3 linked regions of the Lonchura striata genome follow. The protein of the gene in region 1 interacts with the protein of each later gene in a biochemical or structural test. Links are inferred from orthologs where the notes say so. Each region holds a gene or a part of one and is shown on either strand. Other genes may lie near its edges.

What was found.
Region 2: the proteins of TLN1 (region 1) and RET interact in a surface display test, tested with the Homo sapiens proteins (2 studies listed by BioGRID and IntAct, with this or other methods). The link is inferred for Lonchura striata from reciprocal best matches to the Homo sapiens genes TLN1 and RET.
Region 3: the proteins of TLN1 (region 1) and ITGB3 form a complex in vitro, tested with the Homo sapiens proteins (6 studies listed by BioGRID and IntAct, with this or other methods). The link is inferred for Lonchura striata from reciprocal best matches to the Homo sapiens genes TLN1 and ITGB3.

Annotation. Positions count from the first base shown.
Region 1 is NC_134642.1:39,589,129-39,596,929, forward strand, and holds the start of TLN1 (talin-1), read right to left. Parts: upstream 3,023-7,801; 5' UTR 2,944-3,022; intron 1-2,943. Other genes in the region: CREB3 (cyclic AMP-responsive element-binding protein 3), read left to right, coding at 5,080-5,217, 5,300-5,558, 5,776-5,888, 6,102-6,194, 6,702-6,808. UniProt on the Homo sapiens protein: High molecular weight cytoskeletal protein concentrated at regions of cell-matrix and cell-cell contacts. Involved in connections of major cytoskeletal structures to the plasma membrane.
Region 2 is NC_134609.1:8,398,051-8,406,144, reverse strand, and holds the start of RET (proto-oncogene tyrosine-protein kinase receptor Ret), read left to right. Parts: upstream 1-5,065; 5' UTR 5,066-5,161; coding exon 5,162-5,207; intron 5,208-8,094. UniProt on the Homo sapiens protein: Receptor tyrosine-protein kinase involved in numerous cellular mechanisms including cell proliferation, neuronal navigation, cell migration, and cell differentiation in response to glia cell line-derived growth family factors (GDNF, NRTN, ARTN, PSPN and GDF15).
Region 3 is NC_134627.1:1,249,117-1,256,147, reverse strand, and holds the start of ITGB3 (integrin beta-3), read left to right. Parts: upstream 1-3,938; 5' UTR 3,939-4,134; coding exon 4,135-4,240; intron 4,241-7,031. Other genes in the region: RPRML (reprimo-like protein), read right to left, coding at 1-22. UniProt on the Homo sapiens protein: Integrin alpha-V/beta-3 (ITGAV:ITGB3) is a receptor for cytotactin, fibronectin, laminin, matrix metalloproteinase-2, osteopontin, osteomodulin, prothrombin, thrombospondin, vitronectin and von Willebrand factor.

The sequences.
Region 1 (7,801 bases):
GAGCAGCCGGATTAACACACTTCTGCATTTTATAGCAAGTTGTGCGCAACCCTTTTTGAACCACAGGCACGCTTCTGAGCCAATCCCAAAATGCTGAGGGGGAGGGGTTAACCTTGGTGGGGTCCCACCACTTCCCCAGGAGCTGCTGCGGCTTCCTCCATCTCACCCCACGCAAGGTGAGCAAAACCAAGACAGCGGTGGAGGCTCCAGGCTCTGCCTCAGAGCAGGGCCAGTGCAGGCAGGGCTGTGGGCAGACAGGACATGTGTGTCCCAAAGAACCGCGTCATTGCTGGGGACCACTGACAGTGAGTTTTTGGTCACACGATGGAATTACTGTATTTCTGTTGGATGACTTCACTGCTGAAGTAACAGTTACATTTGAAGGGTTTGCGTCTTAAAAGACAAAAAAAATTAAGCAAAATTCAACTGTGGACAGCTGGAACACTTGTGATGAGTTTCCAGAACAAGCTGCAAATCTTCAGATGCAACAGTTCTGCCATTTTTATTACGTTCTCTCTTAAGGGATACTTTGAAAGAGGTTTTGGAATGGGGTTTGGTTTTTCCTTCTTTTATGGTAATACCAAATTTCACCTGGGAAAGGCCCCACTGCAGACCACCTCTGGACTAGGAGCTGGCTGCAGGAAGCTTCATCAGCTGCAAACCATCCCAGTGCTGGGGCTTTCCACAGGCACAGCCCAGCCAGTACAGCCACTGGCACAGCTAGGAAGATACCAGGCCACCAAAACGCAATGTCTGCAACAGTGGCTTGGCCAGCATGTAAACATCTGCACACCATCAACACCAAAAATTAAGCTGGTAAGAAGCCAGACTAGGCTCTAGCTGGGTTCTCCTGTGTTCTCCGGTGCAGGACCAGTATACACAGCCACAGCAGGCAGAGGTAGGCAGAGCTCAGCCCTGCACCAATGGGAAGACTGAGCCAGCAGCCCCAGCTGGTTTAGTGTCACACGCTGCTGAGACCGTTCAACCCAGTTCCTCTTTCCCAGCTGCATGTCCACGTCAGATGGGAGGACAGTTTCTTCCAGCTGAGGCTGAGCTTGCTCCTGGGGAGCATGAGTGGCTGTCAAGGCCAGACACTGCACCCCCATGACCACTCCGCTGTTAGCCATGGCTAGGACAGGCGCATCCTCTCACTCCTTCAGGGAGAGCAGCCCTGTTCTGCATGGGAAATGGGCAGGGGCCAAACAGCTGGGCTGGAGGATCGCAGCCGCAGCCTGCCTGCCTGCTCACATGCACTGAGCTGAAGCAGCTCCAGCTATTGTCTGCCAATGTTTCACACACATCTCACATCCTGTCTGCTCCTGCTGGGCATCGCTTGACCTCCAAAGGAATGGAGCACAAATCATGGCACCTCTAGACTGCCCATGATGAAGGCAGGCATGGTGGGACCCCAGCTGCAGCCTCTCCTGCATCCTTAGCAAGCTGGCCCTCTAGCACAGGACTCCAAGAGCAGGAGTTGAGTTGCAGTGGATGCTGTCATGACCTCTGGAAAGCACTAAGTGCCCTGATCCAAGCACCCATGCTTCCCACAACAAGCAACTTGCCCAGCACTGTGCTGCTGGACAGGCAGAAAGGTGAAAGAAAGAAGAGAGCATGGCTGCATTTTTGGGTCATTTGCTGGTCAGCAGCCAGCAAAGCTCAGTTCTGAAAAGAAGGGCACCCCACAGGCCTCTTTTCATTTTCCTCAGCCTTCCCACTCCCCCTTCCCTAAATCTAATAGGATATGTCACTTTGGGGAGCATCAAATTCCTGCCACTGCCATTCAGCAAGGAAACTGATGCTTGGGTGGTACTTCCCATGCACCATCACAGATTCACTCAGCACTTGGGCGGTTTCACCCTATGATCCAGGGAAAGGCAGGTGGTCTGGAGCTTTTATTAGGCAGCTCACAGGTTTTGCAAAACTAAAGATCCCAAAAATATGCGCCCTTCCCTTCTCAGCAGCAAGGCACAGAGAGAGAAGGGAGTAAACAATTATCGCTACCAAATATGGGTCTAACAGGCAGCGATGAAGACACGGCAAAAGCATGTAGACATCCTGCCGGCAGATTCAAAGGGATGGGGAGCTTGCAGGGGCTCGGGCAGGATCCGGCAGGGAACAGGCAGAAGATGGGGCAGCGTTTCTCCCTGCTTGGTTAGTTGTCTCAGCCGGGATATGGTGGGGACCCAAGCCTTCCCCGATTAGGGCCAGTCCCACCCTGCATGGGAACCACCCCAGCGCCCCATCCTGGGGCCTATAGCCAGCTGTGTGTCCTAGTGAGAACTGTTCGGGTGACGTCCCTGGCTTCGGTGTGGTCACGGGAAGCCCTGGTGTCCCCACCCAAAACCACGCAGCAGGACACGGACACCCTTGCCACGCGCTTTTCCCCACGTCCCCGGCAGGGTGGGCGGGATGCCCCGGGAAAAGCCGCGCCTGGCCTACGCGGACTGTTGGCCACGGCCAGGCTTGTCCAGCTCGGTCCCCAGAGACCCCCGAGGTGGGGATGCTGGCCCGGGCCTCGCCACGGTGGACTCCAGGCCAGAGCCTGCTGAAGCAGGGCAAGTACAAGGCCGGGATAACGTGGCCGGGGATAACGTGGCCGCGCCAGCCCATGTTACCCCGGAGCCTCCGGCGGGTGTCGGTGCTCCGGCGGCGCCGGTGCCAGGGGCGATCTGGGCATGCCCCAAAGTCTGAGCGAACCCCGGAAGCCCTCGGGTCACCGCAGCCCCACGGACAAACCCCGGTTGGAGCAGGGAAACCCCGGTAACCGGAAAGCTGCTTCCTCCCTACCTCCCCGCCACGTACCGGGGGGGTGCAGGGCAGGGTCCCCAGGACATCCGTTTCCGGCAGCCCCCCGAGACTCAGGGCCCTACCGGTCCGCAGGACCCCACTCCGCAGCCCCCAGCCCCCGGTTACCGGGACACCGAGTGTCCTCCGTCCCCGTACCTTTGCGCGGGCAGGAGCAGCGCGGCGGCCCCGCGTCGCTGAGGGGAGCTGAGCGGCCGGCACCGCCCGCTTCCCGCCCCCCCCACCCCGCCACGCGCATGCGCCAGAACGCGGCGCCGCGCTGCACGGTGCCTCGGCGCTGCGCTCCATCCGGACACCGCGCCACGGGCAATCCGCTCCCACGGACAGCGCTCTGTACCCGCACGACTCGGCCCGACGCCCCGGGGCTGGTCACGGTTCCGCGCCCGCGCAGCGTGGCCGTGCTCCACCTGCTGCTCACATCGCACTCCCGGGCGCCCGCCCGCCCCGGGACACCCCCGGGGCTCGGCATGACCCCGGACCCACCGCCCTCCCTTCAACCCGTCTCCCCCATTCCCTCCGCTCCCCTCTTTTCCCGCCCCGCCCCGCGCTCCCGCCGCCCGCGCGCGCTCCCGCCGGCCACGCGCCCCCCTCCTCCTAGCCAATAGGCGAGCGGTGCGTCAGCGCGGGAGGAGCCGGGGCGGCGCGCGCGGGGCCCGCCGGGACACTGGGTGGCGTCACCGCGGGGCGTTGGCAGCGGCGAGGCGGAGGTGAGGGGCGGCTGGGCGCGGGCTCGACCGGGGGTCGGGGCTCCGCTGCTCGGAGGTCCCGGCGGTCCGGGCAGCCGGGTCCGGCCCGCAGCCGGGGCTGAGACGGGCTGCTTGGTTCTCCTCGGGTGGATGTGCCCGCCCCTGCGCTCCGCTCGCCTTTCTGCCGCACCTGCTCCTCCTGTTCCCGTCCTGCCCGTGCTGCCTGCCCGGCGCACGCTCCCTGGGGGAAACCGTCTGTGGAAGCCATGGGCCCTGACATTGCCCGGATTTGCCCAGCTCCTCTTCCTCTTGTTGCTGAACTTTCTGCTGACAGCTCTCCCCTTAGTCAGCTGGCTCAGCAGTCCTGGCTGGGGACTGCGCTGGCCCTCTGGTTTTGGGAGGGGTTTCAGGTGGTTTTGGTGGTATTCTATTTTTTCTGGGTTTTTTTTTTTTTTTCAGACCGTGACACTTGACAGCTAGATGTGAAAGCTTAGCAGTGCTGATGGAGAGGTGCCATGGATGCCTGTGCTCTGACAGCCTGAGTGGTGCCTTGGCTCAGGCATCGCCCACAAGCCGGCCGGGCTGATCCCGCCGAGAGCCATGCGAGGCCGCATCTCCTCAGGGACCGAGGCTCCTGGGCCATGCCTTGTCAGGACATAACAGCAGCAGCCCGAGCTGGGACCAGGCCAAGCTAAAGCTGCCACAGCCACGCAGGTGCACAAGCCCCAGGGCAGTGTTTGGCTGCAGGTCCCTCACTGCCCTCCCCGTACCTGTGGCCGCCTCCAGCCGCTGAGCTCTGCTGCTCTCACGCCGCTGGGCCCTGACGTCCCTGGCAGCAGGGACAGCTCTCCAGGTCACTCCTCAGGGCAGAGAGATTCTTTACCAGTGTCTGATCTCTACAGTAAGGTAAGGAGCATTTTACTTTCAGCCTAAAGGTATACTGTGTGCTAGTGACCTTTATATATATCCATCTATTTATTTGTTTCATCCCCTTACTTATTACGAGTGTGTTAAACAGTACTGTGTTTGACAGCTGTCTGAATTGCTAAGTCATCATATAGGTCTGTCAAATCACTTATTAATTACCTTTCAATGATCACTTAATCACCATTTGATTGCCATTTAATTTTTGCTCAGTCATCGATTACTTAGAATTTGATCATGATTTAATCATTAACAGAATCCCTTTGGTTAAAACCTCAGCAAAGACTGTTCTTAATTTTCCTGGCACAGGAAGCTCTCGCTGCATACCAAGGGGTATGGCACCTTCAGGTTTCTGTGGAACAGCAGAATCTTGCCTGCTCTCCACACCATTAAGTCTGGGATTGTTTCATTTTTCCTGTCCTTTCTGCAGCTTTTATGCTCTGGGTGGAGCATGGCTCCTGTGGCTGGGTCCAAATAACCTTGTATTGTCACCATTGGTGCTATAATGGCAGAAGGAGATGTTACCTGGCTGGAGAAGTACTTGTGAACTGGCCATTCCTGCTGTTGACATTGCATGGGGATACTTCATAGGGTCTGAGGGACACCTTAAAGCAAGGCTGGTGTCTCCTGTTGTGTCTGTGCTCACTTTGGGTGTCCTGCTCAGATGTCATGCCCAGAGGAACTGGATGCCCTGGCAGATGTGGATCTGCTTGACTTTCTTCTGAAGGAGGATGCTCCCTGCCCTGAAATCCCAGGGGAGCAGAATGGTCTGCTGGAAGACTGGGGCCTGCCAATGCCTGAGGTGAGTTCTTTGTAAGGAATTGCTGCTGAGCTGAGGTTTAGGAGGTTTGTCTCCCTGCTGAGTAAAAGCTATTCCTCTGCAGCTCCTGGACAAGGAGATGGATGACTTCATCAGCTCACTGCTGAGCCCTTTAGAAGATGAACCAGACAGGCTCAGTTACTTGCCTGCCAACAATGACAGCAGCATTTCTGAGGATCAGCTTCTGTCCCATTGCCTCAATAGCAATTTTGCGAGCCGAGACATTGTGCACGTTGATCATAACTACTCCCTTCATCAAGAGTGGCCTACACTGGAAAGTGTGAGGTCTGACATGGCAGAAGGAGATGTTACCATTGAGCTAGGTGAGTGATGTTACGGACTCTTTGTGCCCTGGCTGCAGGCAGAAAAGAGAAAAGTAGTCCCATACTGGTTTGTTTTGGGGGTGTCAGGCAAAGATGGAGAGAGCCAAGATTAAAGGCTTTCTGCTGTTATAAAATTGCTATTTCATGCCACTCAAAGCTGGCTGGTCAGGTGCTGCCTCAGTGAGGCCCAGCATTTGACTCATCTTTCCTTCCCCAGGGGCATGGGTAGGTTTGGAAAGTACAAGTGAGGCACTGGAACAGAGCACCAGTTCCCCCGTTGCTGTTGCTGTGGAAGATGAACCCCAGCTTGTGCCTGGAGCCATTGTACAGGTACTGACTCCCATGCCTGTGGACCCCAGCCTTTGCTTCTCACATTTCTCCTTCTCTTCTGACTTGGCTCCTGTGAGGGGTATCTCTGAGGGAAAGCATGACATTACTTTGGAAGAGCTGATTCCAGTTCTGTGTGTTTGCTATGTGCCCTTGCTGGCGGATGGACTCCCTGTAGTATGCATTCTCAGTAGGCTTATTTTTGCTGTTTTCTAGTCTGACTTCCCAGAGCTGGTCCTGACAGAGGAGGAGAAGCAGCTCCTGGAGAAAGAAGGTGTTACATTACCAACCTGTCTGCCACTGACCAAAGTGAGTCCTCACTAGAACCATGCAGACCACTCTTAATGTATCAGGTATCGTAGGGGTTTGAAACTGCAGGACAGTGCCTTGATGAGAATATGTTGTCCAGATGCTGCATTCCAGGCAGTGTTCATCTGGGCTCAGTGTCCTTTTCCTTCTTTCGAGTCCAGGGCATTGTCCATGTGCACAGCAGCTTCTGGCTGCTGTCAGTCTCCAGACTTGTGGCTGTTTGCAGGAGGCAATTACACCACGAGTGCCTGCAGCTATTTTTTCCTGCTTGCCTAGTGGCTTGTGGTCTGTGTGCTTTTCATTTTCCTTAGGTACGCCTTACTTTTGCTGAGTCACGGAAGCTGCTGGCTGCACCAGCAAGGCCAGGGTTTGCCTTGCAGTTTATTCACTGGTGTACGAAGGACAGAGGACACAAGCACTAGGGCTGAGGATTGATATGTGAGCGCAGTCTGAGAGGGTGGGATTGCCAACACCCTGGGATTGCTGTTAATGAGGTGAACCTTGCAGGCTGAGGAGCGAGTTCTGAGGAAAGTGCGTCGTAAGATTCGGAACAAGCAGGCAGCTCAGGATAGTCGTCGCCGGAGGAAGATCTATGTGGATGGCCTAGAAAACAGGTATGGTCACACAGGAGTGTCACCAATACTGAGGGGACCCGTATGTTCTTTTAAGGGATCCTTGGCAGAATGATGATGGCCCTTAATTGTCATTTCAATCAGAACTTCATTTTCCTATCATGTTATGATTAATATAGCAGAGGATTTGTGATTACAGTGGCACAGTTTTTCTACAAGCAGAATCAATGTAGTACACTCTATAAGCAGTGTAATACAGGATCTATCGTGCAACTTAACAATTTCTAATCACCTGCATTCTAATACATCTTAAGTTACAATTTCTAGTCACCTGAGCCCTCTGCAGATTGGATCAGATCTTAATAGATGGTTCTGTGTATTAATATAATGCTCATAACATAGATTCAAAAATGATACAAATAATTCAAGTCTCTCCCTCAGTCATGGGAGGAAGCAGGCAATGGTAGATGTGTCCCTGAGCAGAGGGATCCTGAGCTGTCCAGCAGAAATTTTACTCCCAAGGTGCCCTTAGGACTTTCTAATTGATTCTGTAGACAGTGTGCTCTGTGTTGTACTTCCCTGCTCTGTGATATAGCTGTCAGCAACACAGAGCTGGCTCTGTGCCAGCGACCTTCAAGACTGGTAAGAGGAAGGACTGGTGCCCAGGAGCTTTCAGGCTGGCAGAGAGAGGAAGAAGAAATCTGTTTGTTTTGGTACTTGGTGTACAGGACCTTCAGTGGCAGATTACAAGGGGAAGGGAATGAATACATGACTTGGTGGGTCACAGAATTGCTGCTCCTCTCATGCATGGCCTTAGTTGTACTGACCACAGTGCCAGGTCCAGGATCAGGGGGTGCCTGTCACAAGCTGCTGTGCTGTTCAGTTGCTGGGCTTCTGTCACCCTGAGCAAAAAGTGAGGCTGGCCCTGTGGGGCAAGAGCTCCCTGCAGAGGGTTCAGAACACCAGGGTGAAGCCTGTCTGGTGCTCTTGTGCTTGGAGATGGTCCAGATTTTGCTCTGGTCAAGCCCAGTAGCT
Region 2 (8,094 bases), on another chromosome or scaffold:
TGGTTCCAGGCAAAAAGGATTGTCTGTGCAAATGAGATAACCATGAGTCATCAGCCCTGTCCCTGATGCTAGCTGGGGATATTCCTGCGGCGGTGCAACGGCACAGCTCTGCTGCAGGCACACCAGGCTTGCAGGCTCGCTCACCCGAGGCAGTGCTCATCATCACAGCAAGGTGCACATCCTCATGCACTCACACTCCTGTAATCCTGCTGCTCCACGAGAGTACAGAAATCATACCTTTGGATTTCTCTGCGTTTGGAACTCACATTAATGAAAGTACAGTGGTCGAGTGCTAGTGTGTATCCAAGTGACTTCGCTCCAAATGCCTTTTTCTGACATAATAGCTGCCTCCATGGCACCTCCAGGACAATCCTTAGACATGAAAACTTTTATGTCCTGAGCTTTCATTTCCTGTTAGTTTTAGAGGGTTTTTGTAACAAGATAGATGCAATATGACATGAGATTATGAACAGAATTGAAACAAAAAAGCACCTGTTGTTTGCAAATATTGGGAGAATTTGTTTCCTCTCTGCATGGAAATGCTCCAGCATAGTCATCCTGTGCTTCATGGAAACCTGCAGCAATAAAGGCAAGCATTTGAAAATTTCAGATAAATGGTTAGAGACCTATTTTGGTACTGACTTCTGATGGCACCAGACATTGTGATTTATGATTTCATGCTTTCAGTGAAACAATCTGATGGCCAGAAATCACGCAATTTTTGAGGATTAATGTATTTTTAAAAAGGCTTTATATTACATTTACAGTGACACAAACTAATGTTGTTGAAGGAATTTAGAATTTTATTGCCAAGAAGCAGCAGTGAGGTCAGATGAGGGCAGTCCTGGTGCAGCCCGCTCCCAGGAGGGACAGCTTTGTCAGGTCATCAAAGGACACTCATTCTTCCTGGTCATGGTCCTGGCCCAGGCTCATGTTCTGCCTTCCCTCAAAGAGCATCTTCACTTATGCCAGTCACTGCTTTCACAAGAATCTGGGTTTTGCCTTGAAATCTATCTATTTATTGGACAATCCTAAGCTCTTGCTTAAACTTCTTGTTATCAGGACAGTCTGTAGCACTTTCTCCACAAGTATGACTTCTTTCCTCCTGACTTGAAAGAAATAGCTTCTTGGTTCCCTTCTCTAGGTGCCAAGATGGAGACATCTCCTAGCACAAGTTTGCTGCTTCTTCATGGTAGTCAGTGTTTCTGACCAATTCATAGCACTTTTGGATGAGTATTTTGGGAAAACAAAGAGCTTTTAGCTCTTTCGATGCTCTCAAGTGGATAGAAATTAAATAGATAATATGGATACTGTGCAGTTTATATGTTAGCAATATCTAACAAATAGAAAATAAAGAAATTGACAGAAGGATAGGAAAATAAAGCCCAGGGATTGTGGAAAAACATGTATATAAGAACTTTAAGTATGACATGCAGATAAATTCTTTGTCACTGTCAGGATCAAAGTTTAATCTGTCCTTTTACTATTAGATCTACCTCAGGAAGAATATCTGTTTAGTGCCACCGTAGTTGTAACTGTATGAAAGACTTGACAGTTTGATCACAAAATAGTGTTGAATGTTAATAACCCATTTTTGTAGGTTTAAAATAGTTTTGTCCTACATGATCAACAGCAGCATCTCAGACTGAGTTTCTACAGTAACCAACTTCATAGCATGGGGGAAAAAAGTATTCAAGCCCTGAACTGATCGAGAATTGTATTTTAAATACAATATCCTAGGAAGGGTTTTACCCGAAAATATTTCAGTGTTTGTGCATGACTGTTTGGAAAACATAGAAAGGTGAAAGAGTCCTGAAGTGTCCTGCCCTGATGCTAAATGAACATGATATAAGACTTGTGATGAAACCAAGAAACAGTTATCAATCAGCATCAGTTTCAGGAAGCATTATTGTATCGAGACATCTCATGGTGCCTTTATAAAAGGAAAACCTACAATAATTTAATAGTTCAGCCTGCTGTGCCAAATAAATGAGTCAAAGCAGAGGGGTGGGGGGAAGAGAAGGAGTATGAGCCATAGTTTTGCAATTGCACTAGCCTGCAGGAAAGTGTTGATTTACTTCCAAAGTATTTCTGCTAGGAGAATGATGGGAGATGCCACTGCAAAGCTTGAGTTTTTCTGGGAAATTAAGGACACCTCGCTTTTTTATTCCCCATTTACAAGCACAGATTTTCATTCAGTTTTCAAAAGGCCTTCAGACAAAGAAACCAAGTGAATGACGTGGAAGTGTATTTTATGCATAGTGCAGCAGAAGTTAGCTGTTGGAAAGAGATGGTTGCTATAGGCTTGTATGGCTCATGTAAACTCAAGGGCAGATGGTTCACAGCCTGTCTTGGGCCTCTTCAGGGATGTGGAAACCAGGCTGGGCATGAAGGGTTTAAGATTTTTCTCCTGAAGTTTGAATTTCAAGTGGAAAATTTAAAATGCCTCAATTTTGATAGGCTTTTCCAGGATTTGAGAGATGCTGCACTTATGTTATTTTTGTCTTCTGTATGGTAGGCTATAATTCCTGGCTGAACTATGTTTCCTCAATATACCAGTGCTGACATAAAGGACAGCAGTTTCAGGAAGAATGGTGACTACATTAACATGAGAGACGTGATCACAGTAGCTGGAACACAGAAGACACACGTATTTCATCCAAGTTGGATAGTTTTTTCCAGGTGCGTTGTGTGTAAGCTACAATTCTCTGAAAACACATAAAACTGCTTAGCTTAAAAGCCTGGAAATCAAATGAAAAAATTATTCTGGTGACCTTACTTCTGTTCCTTGCATGACGAACATGATGGCATCTAAAACCAGTTTTAGTGTGCTGGAGCAGAGCCTGAAGCTGGCAGAAGAGTACAGCTTTGGCTTCAGTTGCTGAGATGCCAGAAGAGATTGTAAGTCCTTGAAATTCTTCCAAGAAGTCACTTTGTCCTGGATGAAAACTGGCATTTATCAGTGCAGATGATAGTGGTGTATTTTAGATGGCATCAATATTGATTTGTATACTGCACGAGCTTTTAAATATGATTTAAGATAAAGCTTAGCTTAACCTAAGACATTTCTCCACAAAGCATTGATTTAATGTTAATGTTTTATGTGTTGCTTTCTTTGCTATAGACTTTCATTTGGTTCACAAAGACTTCCCAAGTAACCTTCTCAGTTTCCTCTTTCAGGCACTTGCAAAAGCCCCACAAACACTTGACACGTGAGTAAGTACTCAAAAGTTTAATTTATACTATGTGACAGGCAGCTTCAAAAGCAATTAATTAATGGTGGTTATTATTGCTCATCTCAAATTCATTATTACCCTTCTAGTTGCTTTGACTTGGCTTATTGTTTTCCCAAGCCTTATGAAGACCATGGAAGAAAATTTAACTTGAAGATCTAACAGAAAAGTTAAAATAGGTTAGTTCTTTTACTATTCCTGTAGTACTATTTCTCGTACTTCGCCTCTTAAAGTGCTAGGTATTGTAAGCAGAGTCCTTACTAACCTAGAGAGAGAATTTCTTTTTTGACTTATATTTAAATAATCTACAGCAATTCTTGCTAGGTGCAACGGCATCGGGTTATCTACTCTGTGTGTCTACTTGACCTTGCTTGGGCGTTTCAGAGTGTGAAGGCTGGTGAAGCCGAACACTGTAGCTGCTGATCTGTGTCTGAATCCTGACGACCAGATCTCTGGAGCAGCGCGGCTGTGTGGAAGCAGCATCGTCTTTCGGGAGAGGAGCAGAAAATAAATATCTCCTCGGCAGGTTGAAGATGCCGTGACAGGAGAGGTGCGGGGAGCGGGGCAGGGTTTGTGTCAGGCGGCAGTCGCCGTGGCCCCTCCAGAGGCTGCGCGGGCGCGGTGCCCGCGGGGGTCGGGAGGCTGTGCCCGCGGGGGTCGGGAGGCTGCGCCCGCGGGGGTCGGGAGGCTGTGCCCGCGGGGGTCGGGAGGCTGTGCCCGCGGGTGTCGGTGTCGGGAGGCTGTGCCCGCGGGTGTCGGGAGGCTGTGCCCGCGGGTGTCGGGAGGCTGCGCCCGCGGGGGTCGGTGTCGGGAGGCTGTGCCCGCGGGTGTCGGGAGGCTGCGCCCGCGGGTGTCGGGAGGCTGTGCCCGCCCATCCCGCGCTGCCCGCGGCTCCGGCGCGGCCGCGGCAGCCGGGGCAGGGCGCGGGCGGGCCGGGCGCTGCGGCGGGGCCGCCGGGCGGAGGCAGCGCCGGCGGCGGGGCTCGGGGCGGCGTTTGTGAGCGGCGGCTTTTTCGGAGTGCTTTTCTCGCCCAGCCCGACCTGTCACAGCGTATTTCAGCTTTGGCTCGGTTAGGTTTCCCGCCCCCCACCCCCTCCCGCTTGCGGTTTAAAAGTGGCGTTTCGCCGCTCAGCGGGACGCGCGCGTTCCGGGTTACTTTGGTTGCCTGCCAGGTAGCGCACATCTTCTACAGCATCCTCCTACCATCAAGCAAAAACTGTCTCCTCTCCTAAGGATTAATTATTCAACACGTTTAATGTGTTTCGGCTGACGGGGAAGACGGCCACTCGGGCACATCCTGGTGCCGCAGCGCCTGTCCCCGCTTTGTCTCGCACCTGGTGTGTTTGCGCGGCTCGCCGGTCTTCTCCCTCAGGCCGCCGCCTCCCGCTCCTGCCGCCCGCTCCCCGCTGCTGCCCGCGGGGCCGGGGGACGCGGGCCGGTGCCCGGCCCCGCACCTTGCCCGCGGGGATGCGCGGGGCGGGGCCGCCCCTCGGCGGAGGCTCCGCGGGCGGGGCGGGGCGGGGCGGCCCGGGCAGAGCGGCCCGGCGGCCGCGGAGGAGGGGCCGGGGGCTGGCCGGAGCCGGGCGGTGCCGCCGCCCGGGCAGCGCGGGGGGTTCGGCGCCGGGCGCGGCGGAGCGGAGGCTTCGCTCCTGACTTCGCTCTCCCCGCAGAGCCCGAGAGGCGCCGGCACCGCCGAGGGAACGAGGCGCTTTCTTCCCGGCCGGTGGCGGCGGGGCGGCACCGGAGCCAGGAGGACCGAGAGAAGGAGCGGCGGAGAAGCATCCCGGCGCGGGCTGTCCCGTCCGCGCCCGGCTCCGTGCTGCCGCCGGCCCGGGCCATGGGCCGGCCCGACTGAGACCCGCGGACCGTCCGGCAGCCCGGCCGGTGCCGCCCGGAGCGCCGAGGCGGGGCCGCACCGCGCGGGGAAGATGCGCTCGGCGGCGCGGACAGCCGGGCTCCTCCTGCTCTGCGGGGGTAAGTACCGCGAGCCCGGCCCCCGGGAACTTGGCGGAGCTCAGGTGGCACCCGCGGCTCGCTCCGGCCCCGAAAATCTTGCCACAAATACAGACAAGATATAAATAATCCTGATGCGTTTTCTTCGTTTTTTAAAAGCTAAGTTAGAACAGATGTGAGTTTGCTTTTCTCTGAATTTATGATGTGAAAGGGAAAATATTAAAGTATATTCCCATTTTAACTTTCTAAAACATTATTTCTTCTCTGCTATCCTATTCCCAGAGCTTTTTGTATCATTAGATAAAATGCGTTTTGGATTGGTAAATGAAAATGACCAGAATACGAATAGTGATTGCATTGTAAGTTGGATGATGCTATCCGCAGATGTCAAGTTTCTAAAGCAAACAGAAAATCCATTATATCTCTTTTTCTTCCATATGGCTTTGTTTGCTGATGGATTTCTGACGTTTACATGAATAAATAAAAGTTGTATGCTAGAGAATGCAGTACAACCTTGCACGTCAGAAATGCATTTATGAAAAAAGTAAAGCCCAAACTACTTCACTAGTTGTTCTAACAGTGAGTAGAGTGCAATATTAATTCTGCCCTTGTGATTCCTCATAAGCATGTGACTTTTTCCTTCTTGTTATTAATTCAGATTAACTGTATTAATTTGTACCATTTTAAACTACTTGCAATACTTGCAGATATTATAAAGCTCCTATTTAATTTTTAATTTTTTTTTACTACACTGAAATACTTTAAGTTGCCCATATGTTTTCTCTTCTTAATAGGTTGTTGTTAAGGCCTGATTTTTGTAAAATCTCACTAGTAGTGAAGTCTATGATATAAGGGTATAAAATGTGTAGGATATACAGCATCTAAACACACTCATCTAGTAAAAAAAAAAATAAAGTGGGTTGCATCCCAAGACATTTCACTGTCAGGAAGAATTAGCCATACTTGTATTGCTAATGGATGATCTATCATGCCTACTTTGCTTTTATCTTTGGCAAATCCATTTTCTTTAATGTTTTTTGGCAGAATTAGGAGAAATGTAATTTACGTAAGTTTCTCGGCTTGAGGGTTATCTTTTCATTAGCCAAAATGATTCACATGCATTTGCTTGAAGATGATTTTCAGTGATTTCTGTTTAAGCTGGACAGATGAGTTTTCTTCAATTCATGCTGAGTTACCCCAGATTATTGCACATCCTGAACTAGCTGGTGTTAGGAACTCTGGAGCTGCATTCTCAAATGGCTTTTTTTTTTTTTTTTTTCCCCTCTTGCAGCGTTTCCCTTTCAGTTGGACCACCATTTGATTTTACTTTTAGTTGTACAACTTTACATGAATTTCATTCTGAAACTCTCAGATGGGAAAGGGGTTCTCTTTACTGAAGACAGGTATCTAAACCTTCCTAAATATCAGACCTCAGCAGTTGGAAATAGTTTCAAAGACTTTTTATTACTAAATGTAGCCATAAATTGTTAACTTTTGGATCTGCCAAAAATATATTTGGAGGAATATTATAGGAGCTAATTTATTTGAGTAGAGTAGGCTGCCAAGTAGATTTTTTTTTTGTATACTGCTTGTTTATACTTAAAGTTAAAAATGTTTTGCTTATGCTCGCAGCTTTGACTACTGAGGCTTAATACTTGGTTCTCCTTATTTTCTGCTAAAATTGTTGGGAAGGAATGTTGTGTACATTTATGCTTTGGGTCATTATATTTATAGTTAGGGTCATTGTATTCATAGTTATTTCAGGAATTATTCATAGCAATATTCTATGGGTGTCTGTTGATAGAGAAACACTGCTTCACATTGTTGAGGTGTGTGACACTAATTAGCTTTTATGCAGTAAGAGCTGAGTTTGCAGCATTGTGTCTTGGAGGTACTAGCAAAGCCCCTGCATGCACAGAGTTCCAGTTTAGGAACCCAGCTGTCTCAGGAGTGATGATGCATTCTTATCGTGGAGAACACTGTGAAACTTCAGTGGGCTCCATCCTGGGGGAAAGCCAGGGTCTCTTCAGTGATAACTGGCGTGCTCTTGCCAGGTGGTGTGAAGGAATCTCTTTCAGCTGGGCAAGACCTCATCATAGAGGCTTGCCACCCAAAGTTAACCTGCAGGGATACCCTTGCACTCAATTGCTATTGGTACATCTTTGGTTTATAGAAAGGTTTTGGAGAGGTTAAAACTGCCGTAGTTCATAGAACGCGTGCTCTCAACAAACCCGGAGGCATTTTACTGAGTGAGCTGGCGTGGGCAATCCGTGAGCGTGCTGTTAGTTGAAGGGATTAGGTTTGGTTATTTTGTATTGGTGGGCTGCATAAAGCACACTGGCCCATTTGTTCTGAGGCAGAAAGGCACAGCCTTGGTGCTTCTGCACCACAGGCAACGTGTGAGTCTCCTGCATGCACTGTCCTTAACGTGCAGTAGCCTAAAACCAGCAAAAATAAAAGGAATGTTTCTTCTCAAATTAAGGCTTCTGTCTCTTTTACCAATTAAAAGAAAGGCAGGGTTTTATTATGGAGTGTGCACCTGTCTTTTGAAAAAGTTTTGCATCTTGTCAGTTGCAGGACTTCAGGGTGTTAACTTGCTTGTCATGCTGCCTGGCTGTTTGGTGCTGGAGTTTTGATTCTGAAAGCTCAGTGATATCAGAGTAGGACCTTGTTCAGTTAAATGTAGAAAAGAGTGCCTGTGGGAAAGACTTGGTAGGATTGTCTTGTCTGGAAAGTAATTTTTGTAATTAAAGGGGATTCTTTTGACAAGATAATTTCTTTTCAGTGAATAAAACGCAGTTTGTAAGCATTACACTATGCAAATTTTTTAAAATTGAAAGGGAAATCTAATGGAAATAATAAGGTTTCTACTTCAGCAATGTGCTCTTGAATGCAGATTATTCAAACT
Region 3 (7,031 bases), on another chromosome or scaffold:
GGTTGAAAAAGGATCCATTCATGGTCTGTGTGTGACCCCAAATCTTCAGGGAAAGTAAAAGGGAAGCTTGTTGTCCCCCTGTCCACCCTTCACAAGCCAGGGTTTGGCAGCTCCAAGCAACCTCCTGTCTTTCCTCTCTCAGTGCCCAGGGATGGAGAGGGAACTTCCTCAAGGCTGTGAGCAGGTGGGAAGCCAGTCCGTGCAGCCGACAGATGTCTGGATCCCGATCTCTCCTAGCAGAGCATTAGCATGAGCCCCCAAACAAGCAAAAGGAGACAGAGAGAAAAGGAGAAAGGGAGCTGGGGGAGAGGATGGCAGACGGGGATCACCCCATGCCCCCTGCCCTCCCAGCCTGCTCCCAAAACAGTGAAGCAGTACTGCTGGATCCTGAGGTTTCTCCCGGGGGAAGGAGAGCTGGTGTCTGCCAGGGGGGAGCTCCACAAATGCAAGTTACAAGCTAAAGTCTTCACCGTGCTCAAAGAAAAAACAGCAACTCCACCCCCTTCCAGCCTCTTCCCAGGCCCGCCTTCCTCCCCCTCCACATTCACCCTGCTGCCCACCCCTTCCCCATGCTGCATACCCCATCTCTGCCTTGCCATAGGTGCCTGCACACACCCCTGTGCCACCCCAGGTGGGGGCTGAGCCCTAAGGCCCTGCAGAGTTGTCCCTAGCTCATCCCTCCCTCCAGCCCTCCCACCTGCTCCCAAAAGCATCTTGCATGGTGAATGTTTGTCCCGGACTGCTGGCAGGTCCCTGTTCCCCCAAAGGCTCCTGTAAACCTCAGGTCAGCACTGCTGTCACTCTTGCTGCTCCATGCCACCCACTCCTTCTCTGAGCAGCATGGCCCTATCCAGCCAGTCCACCCACAGCTCTGCTTGGTGATTCCTGTCCTGTGCCTCCAGAGAAGAGCTGGATACAGCCCCTCTCTTCCTCCTGTTCCTCTGGCTGGGGGCTTCTTCCTCAGGGCACATGGTCTCCCTCTCCTCCCCTTCTCACTTTAGCTCCTCCAAAGGGAGGCACTGCACCCTGATCTCTGCTCTATCCCCAGCTTTGGGTCCCACAGCAGTGTCACTGCAGCATCCAGGGCCAGAGCATCACAAGCCCCTCAGCCCCACCAAGGCAATCCCAGGGGAAATTTCACCATCACTCCCATCTCCGTGTCTGCACAAGCTCCCAAAGCGACACCATGAGCCAGGGTGTCCAGCTTGTCAGGCTTACTCCTATTCCTGCTCATCCCAAGGCTCTGCCCATAGGACTGCCATGTCCAAGCTTCCTGGCTTTGCCCATTGGCATTTGCCTGGAAATCTGTCTGGACGGCCCAGAGTAGCAGATCACCCCCAAAGCACAGTGTGAGGACTTTGCCCTGGTTTATCCACGTACATACTGGCTTGTTTCCTTTGCCCAACCTTCTAGGGGATTTTAATAAAACAAAAATGACGATTGATGAGTTGTAGCTCAAGTCAGGGACATATGGCTGGCTGAGGGTGGCAGGCAACTTGGCAGGGACAGTGTCAAGTGATCTTCCTTTTAGACAGCTGGGATCCCCTGATCTGCTGCTGTGACTTTACGGGCTCAGACCTGTTCAGTTCAGGGTTTACTTGTTGCATTTTCCTCCTTGTTCTGGATTTGGTATTTCTCTCCAGGTTGCTGCCCACTCTGCTAGGGCAGTTGAAGCAGAAGTTGTGCATGAAGGAGGGGAAAACCCTGATCCAAGGAGCATCTGCTTGTGTTTAACCTGGGACAATCCCACAGGAAATCACAGCATATACCCAGTGCCCCAGCCTGACACTGGGGATCCTCTTCCTGCATGCTCTCAGACTGAAGGACTTTCTGCTCCCTCTGGTGGCTCCAGATCCAGCATCTCCTCTCCCAGCACACCCCAGCATGGATTTGGGCTGCACCCATTGCTCCTGGGTCACAGCCTGTGGTGATGGGTCAGCTAGGGCTCCCAAACACTCCCCTGCTGGCTTCTGCCTTCATCCCACCAGGCACCCCAAAATCTGGAGCATCCCACTGTCTATTATGCAGTGCCTGGAGGTAGCATTGTGGAATCTTGGAATGGTTTGGAAAGAACCTCAAGTCATTCTAACACTCTGTCATGGGCAAGGACATCTGCTAAACCTGTCCAAACTGTCCTTGAACACTACCAGGTATGGGAATTTCACATCCCAGCAATGTTTTCAGGACAAGCAGCACCTTCTTGCAGTTTGCAGGGGAATTCCACCCGAACATCTTGGACTGAGTTAATTCCATCCTTGTCCTCAGGCAGGACCAGCCCAGGAAAGTGAAGACAGGTCAAACACTTCATTTTGTGACTTTTTCCTTTTTCTTTAGCATTTTTGCACCATGCTGAAAGTATCACAGCCCACCCTGGGTAAGGGATTCCAGGACACACAGGGTAATATGTTGTTTGGGAGCAGCAGCACTTGCCAGTTTGGGGAGCCAGGAGCTGGGTAGAATGAGTCCCTGGTGAAGAGAGCCTGGGAGATGGATGGCAGGTTGGATCTGGGGGTGTGCAGAGCCAAACAGGATGCCATAGTCCTCTCTAGACAATAAAGACTAATGTTCCTTTCCATGAAACACTCAGACATGGTCACAAGATGACACAGCACAGCACATGGGGACAGGCAACCGTGTGGGCAGAAAGCTCCACATGATGGGAAAGGCCATATAAGCAGGATGTCAAGGAAGTAAAATAAGGAATTTAGATGCCCTAAAACTGGCTAATGGGGTCTGCCGTGAGATATGGCTCCAGGTTTAGGATTTGTCTTAGCCAAGGTACAGCCATATTTGATACTGCATGAGGGTTGATGGGCTTCTCCTAGTCCCCTTTGCCAAATCTTCATTAACAAGTCCTAGGGAAGCAATTGGATTCCAGTTGGACAGTGATCCCCACTGAAGAGGACAGCAGCATCCTCAAGGTTGGTGAGGCAGTGTGGAGAAGCAAAGAGGGGCCAAAACTTCTTTTAAAGCCAAGGAAAGTCCCCAGGTCCTGAGGAAGAGTCTGTATTGCTACTTCATCTTCACAAAAACTGTTACCTCTTGTGGACAGCTGCCAGGTCTGGGACAAGTGCTGTTGTCCCCATCTCCCAGCATGGGGCTGTGGCTCTTGTACAGCTCTCTGCACATTGTCTCCAGGATGTGTCTGCAGCTCTTGGCACCCACAAAAACTTGTATTCCACAGCTTGGTATTTCTGTGTGCTGGGTTGTCTTGAGCCAGGACTGTGTCATTATTGCCCCCAACCCTTGTCAGCTGGTGGGATAGAGCATCCCAGGGAAATTACTCCAGCCCTTCTCTCCATTTTGCTCCCAATGTGTATTCCAAGTGCCTCAATTTCCCCAGCTTTGACTAGGACCTTGGTATTGCAGGGGAACAAGGGGTTTGTAAAACACCTTCAAGAGACACCCACAGGCAGTTCTGATGCTTCAGTGGGCTCAGTGCCTATGCAGATCCCAATCCCTGGATTTGTTCAGCACAGAATCAATTCCTGAGGACACAGTGGGGAAAAAAACAATACAAGTGAGAAGAAAATCAGGTCCAAATTATGTGACCCCAAGCTGAGCTTCCCTCCCTTTGAGATGTCCAGGTTTATATCCAAACTACTGGCTCCATCAGGTGCACTTCCTGGCTGGGTCTCCCTCAGCTCCCAGCTCTGCTTTAGCAGGGATATTCCCTCTCAGGTGAGGGAGCTGAGAACCCACACTTTCGTATTAATGTACATTTCCTCTATTTCTCCTTGAATCCTTGAACTCCAGCAGTTCAGACGGGGTTTAAAACCAGCTGCCTTTCAATAGTTAACAAAAGGAAGGAGTGAGCAAGGTTTTGTAAGGAATTAAAGCCAGGCGGAAGAGTCTATGTGAAAGAGCCTGTTACGAGCTCCGGGGCTGCAGGTCACCAGTGCCGAGGGAGGACTCGCTGCCAGGGTTTATTTGGTCCTTGTTTAAGCCGAGAGAGCGAAAACCTCATAAAGAGCTGGCGGCATAGCGGGCGGGGACACTACGGACTCCGAAGTGACGAGGCAGCAGTTTCCTCCAGCCGCCCCACTCGCCGTGTGTGTCATTCACCCAGCCCTGTGATTCACCCCCTCAGCCGCTAAAAGCCTCCAGCTACTCCAGAGCCGCTGCCCATCACTCATGGAGGGGCTGGTCCAAGCCGTCCCCCCACTCCGGGGTTCAGACAAGATGGATCAACTTTCCGTGACACTCGGGATCCTGCTGCTCTGCGCTACTGGCAGCTGGGGTAGGTTAACTCTGTCGCTTCTGTCACTGCTTATAGCCATTTAGTGAAGATGTTGCCTGTTACTTCTACAAATCCCAGGACTTTCTGCATTCCCAGGGTCTGTGATTTCATGGGAAAATCACTCGGAGGGGGAGCTGGCAGCCTGAGCTGCAGCGCATTCCCACATAGGAAGCACTGCTCAGGCCGGTTGGGCTTCATCTGGGTCGGGGCCAGGAACTTCTATGTTAAAGAATCAAGACATACTTTAGTGGGTTATTCTTACTGGATGTGGTAGATCTTACTGGATCTACCTGCTCTGTGTTTGGCTCTGGTTACTAGTTTATAATGCAAGGACTGGGGTGTGACTTGGGCTTCATCCTTTATAAACAGAAATTCTCTGGGAGAAATCATGTCAAGTAATCCCTCCCAGTGTCAGGACACTTTAAGGGTGCGGGTGGGGGGGCGGGGGGAATTATGCCAGCATTGCTGTCCGGTGTTATTTTTCTCATGGTTTTTTTGATGCTTTTCTTTAAGAAATCTGATTTCTGGCATCATATGATCTCAGGATAAATGTAGTTTGTATTTTTAAAAAGTTCTCAAATGTCAGAGGTACAGAAAAGCCTGGAAAAGCATTATGTCCTCTCCAGGTGTGTTCCTAATGACTAGGCCTGAAAGGAAATTTAAAAATGGTGATTTATAAATTGGTCACATTGTTTTCACGGCTAGACTTGGGATTTGGAGCAACATTGTTCTGTCTAAAGAATTCCAGGTTTTAGTGAATTCCCAGGAACAGCCTGAGGCTCTGATTTGCTGCCGGATGGAGCTGTCATTAGAACAGGACATGGGATAACCCCTGCAAGAGTTTGAATTCATAGAGCTGCAGTTTGGGGCTGTGCACATATCTCTGGTGCCTGTGCTCAGTTTGGGGCATCCCATTCCCAGGAAGACACTGGCAGGAAGGGAAAGGTTCGAGAGAAAAAACACCCCCAGAATGGTAGGGTGGGGATCTGCCAAGAAAGCCCAGCTTCTTATCACTTAGTCAAACGGAAAGGCTGGAGAGGATGTGGTTTGTACATTTATCAAGTTTCCTCAAATGTCTTTATCAGGGTTTCTCTGTGCTCATTCTTGCTCAATTTGGCAGAGGGGGAAAACAAAGTGTGTGGCTGCTCCTGCACCACACAGAGGTTACACTGGGACTGAGTAATTTTCTCCAGTCAGGACAGGATGATGCTGAGCCACAGATATCTGGGGTGCTTCAAGTGCATTATTTCCCTAAATTCAATCCCAGATTGGATGGGGCTTGAAGCAACCTGGGCTAGTGGAAGGTGTTTGTGCCCATGGCAGGGGGTGGAACTGGATGGGCTTTAAGGTCACTTTCAACCCAAACCAGTCTGGGATTCCCTGTTTTCACCTCTCTGAGGACCACAGCTCTGCCTAGCCCCAGATGGGTGGTTCCCATCATTCTGTGCAGTTTATCTCCCATTTCCTTGTAGTTCAATGCGGTGGTGTGTTTTTCTTTCATTTAATATTAGTTTAAGATTGCTTTTTTTCAAAAACTGGAGTCTTTAGGATCAGCTCATTGTGTGAGAGCAGCTGCTATCATGGTTTAAAAATGCAGGTTTTGTACTTGGGTGTATTAGTTTTTATGGCTAGGAAAAAAAAAAAACTCCAAAGATGGGGAAAAAAGTCACCAAAAAATACAGAATTTGTCAGTATAGGCTGTACTGGGATGGTGTTGAGCTGCTCACAGCCAGGTAGTGTCTGAGTCTGGGAAGGACTGCCAGGCACTCACAGGGCCAAAACCTTAGAGGACTCCAGCTGCAGCATCTTTCCCATCTTTCACATCCTCCACCTCCTCCATATCCTCCACTTCCACCCATCTGTGCTTTTGTTCCAACATCCTTACAAGGTCCTTGCTCTCACAAAACTCTCCCAACACTGCATCCCTGCATCCAGCCATACAAACGGTCCTGGGAATGCCAAAAAAGGAACATTTCCCCGTGTTGGGGGTGTGCAGTTGCCTGCTCACAGCAGGACCAACTTCATGTTTGGATGGTCATAACTGCCCAGGCCCTGCTCCATCCAGCCCCATGGAAATGCAGCCAGGAATGGCCCTGTGCAGTGCTGGAGATTGGTTCCAAGGAAGGGAAGGGTCCTCCATCCCCAGGAAAGTGTCTTGGTTATGGAGTGATGGACACCATAGGGACCACAGGGCTGTGTGAATCTGGGAGCAGATACAGACCTCCAGGGACCCCCCAGGCAAAGCCACCAGCAATGGCGTGGTGGCATGATGTGACATCAGACCCCAGGGCAGCCTTGGGAATGGCAAAATCCCTCCCACAGGGACTTCCCAACTGTAGCCCCACCTGAGCCCAGGTGCAGCTCCCCAGCCATGACAGTGCTCTGCCTAGGTCTATGTCCTTCATTCCAAAATCCATGAGAAGACTGGATTTACAAAGAGAGGGGATGCCAGATAAAGGATCCCTGGGCTTTGGGGTGGCAGCAGAAGGAGAGGAAAGGAAACCTTCAGGGTCCAGGGGCTGCACACAGGCAGGAGGTAATTTGCACCAAATGGTGAGGAACAGATGAGCTTAGAGAGTTCTGGGGCTCCTTAGCCACAAGATCAGATTTCACAGCATGAGGAGGCACCCTGGGGCTCTGCCAGCAGACATGACCCTGGAATCCTTCACATGGAGTTTTAGTGGAACCTGATCTCATTGAGAGCAGGGTTAACACTGCACAGGGGAAACTGAGGCAGGAAGTGGCTGAGGGACTAGGTCAAGTCACAGGGAAAACCTGTTTGAGGCAGGAT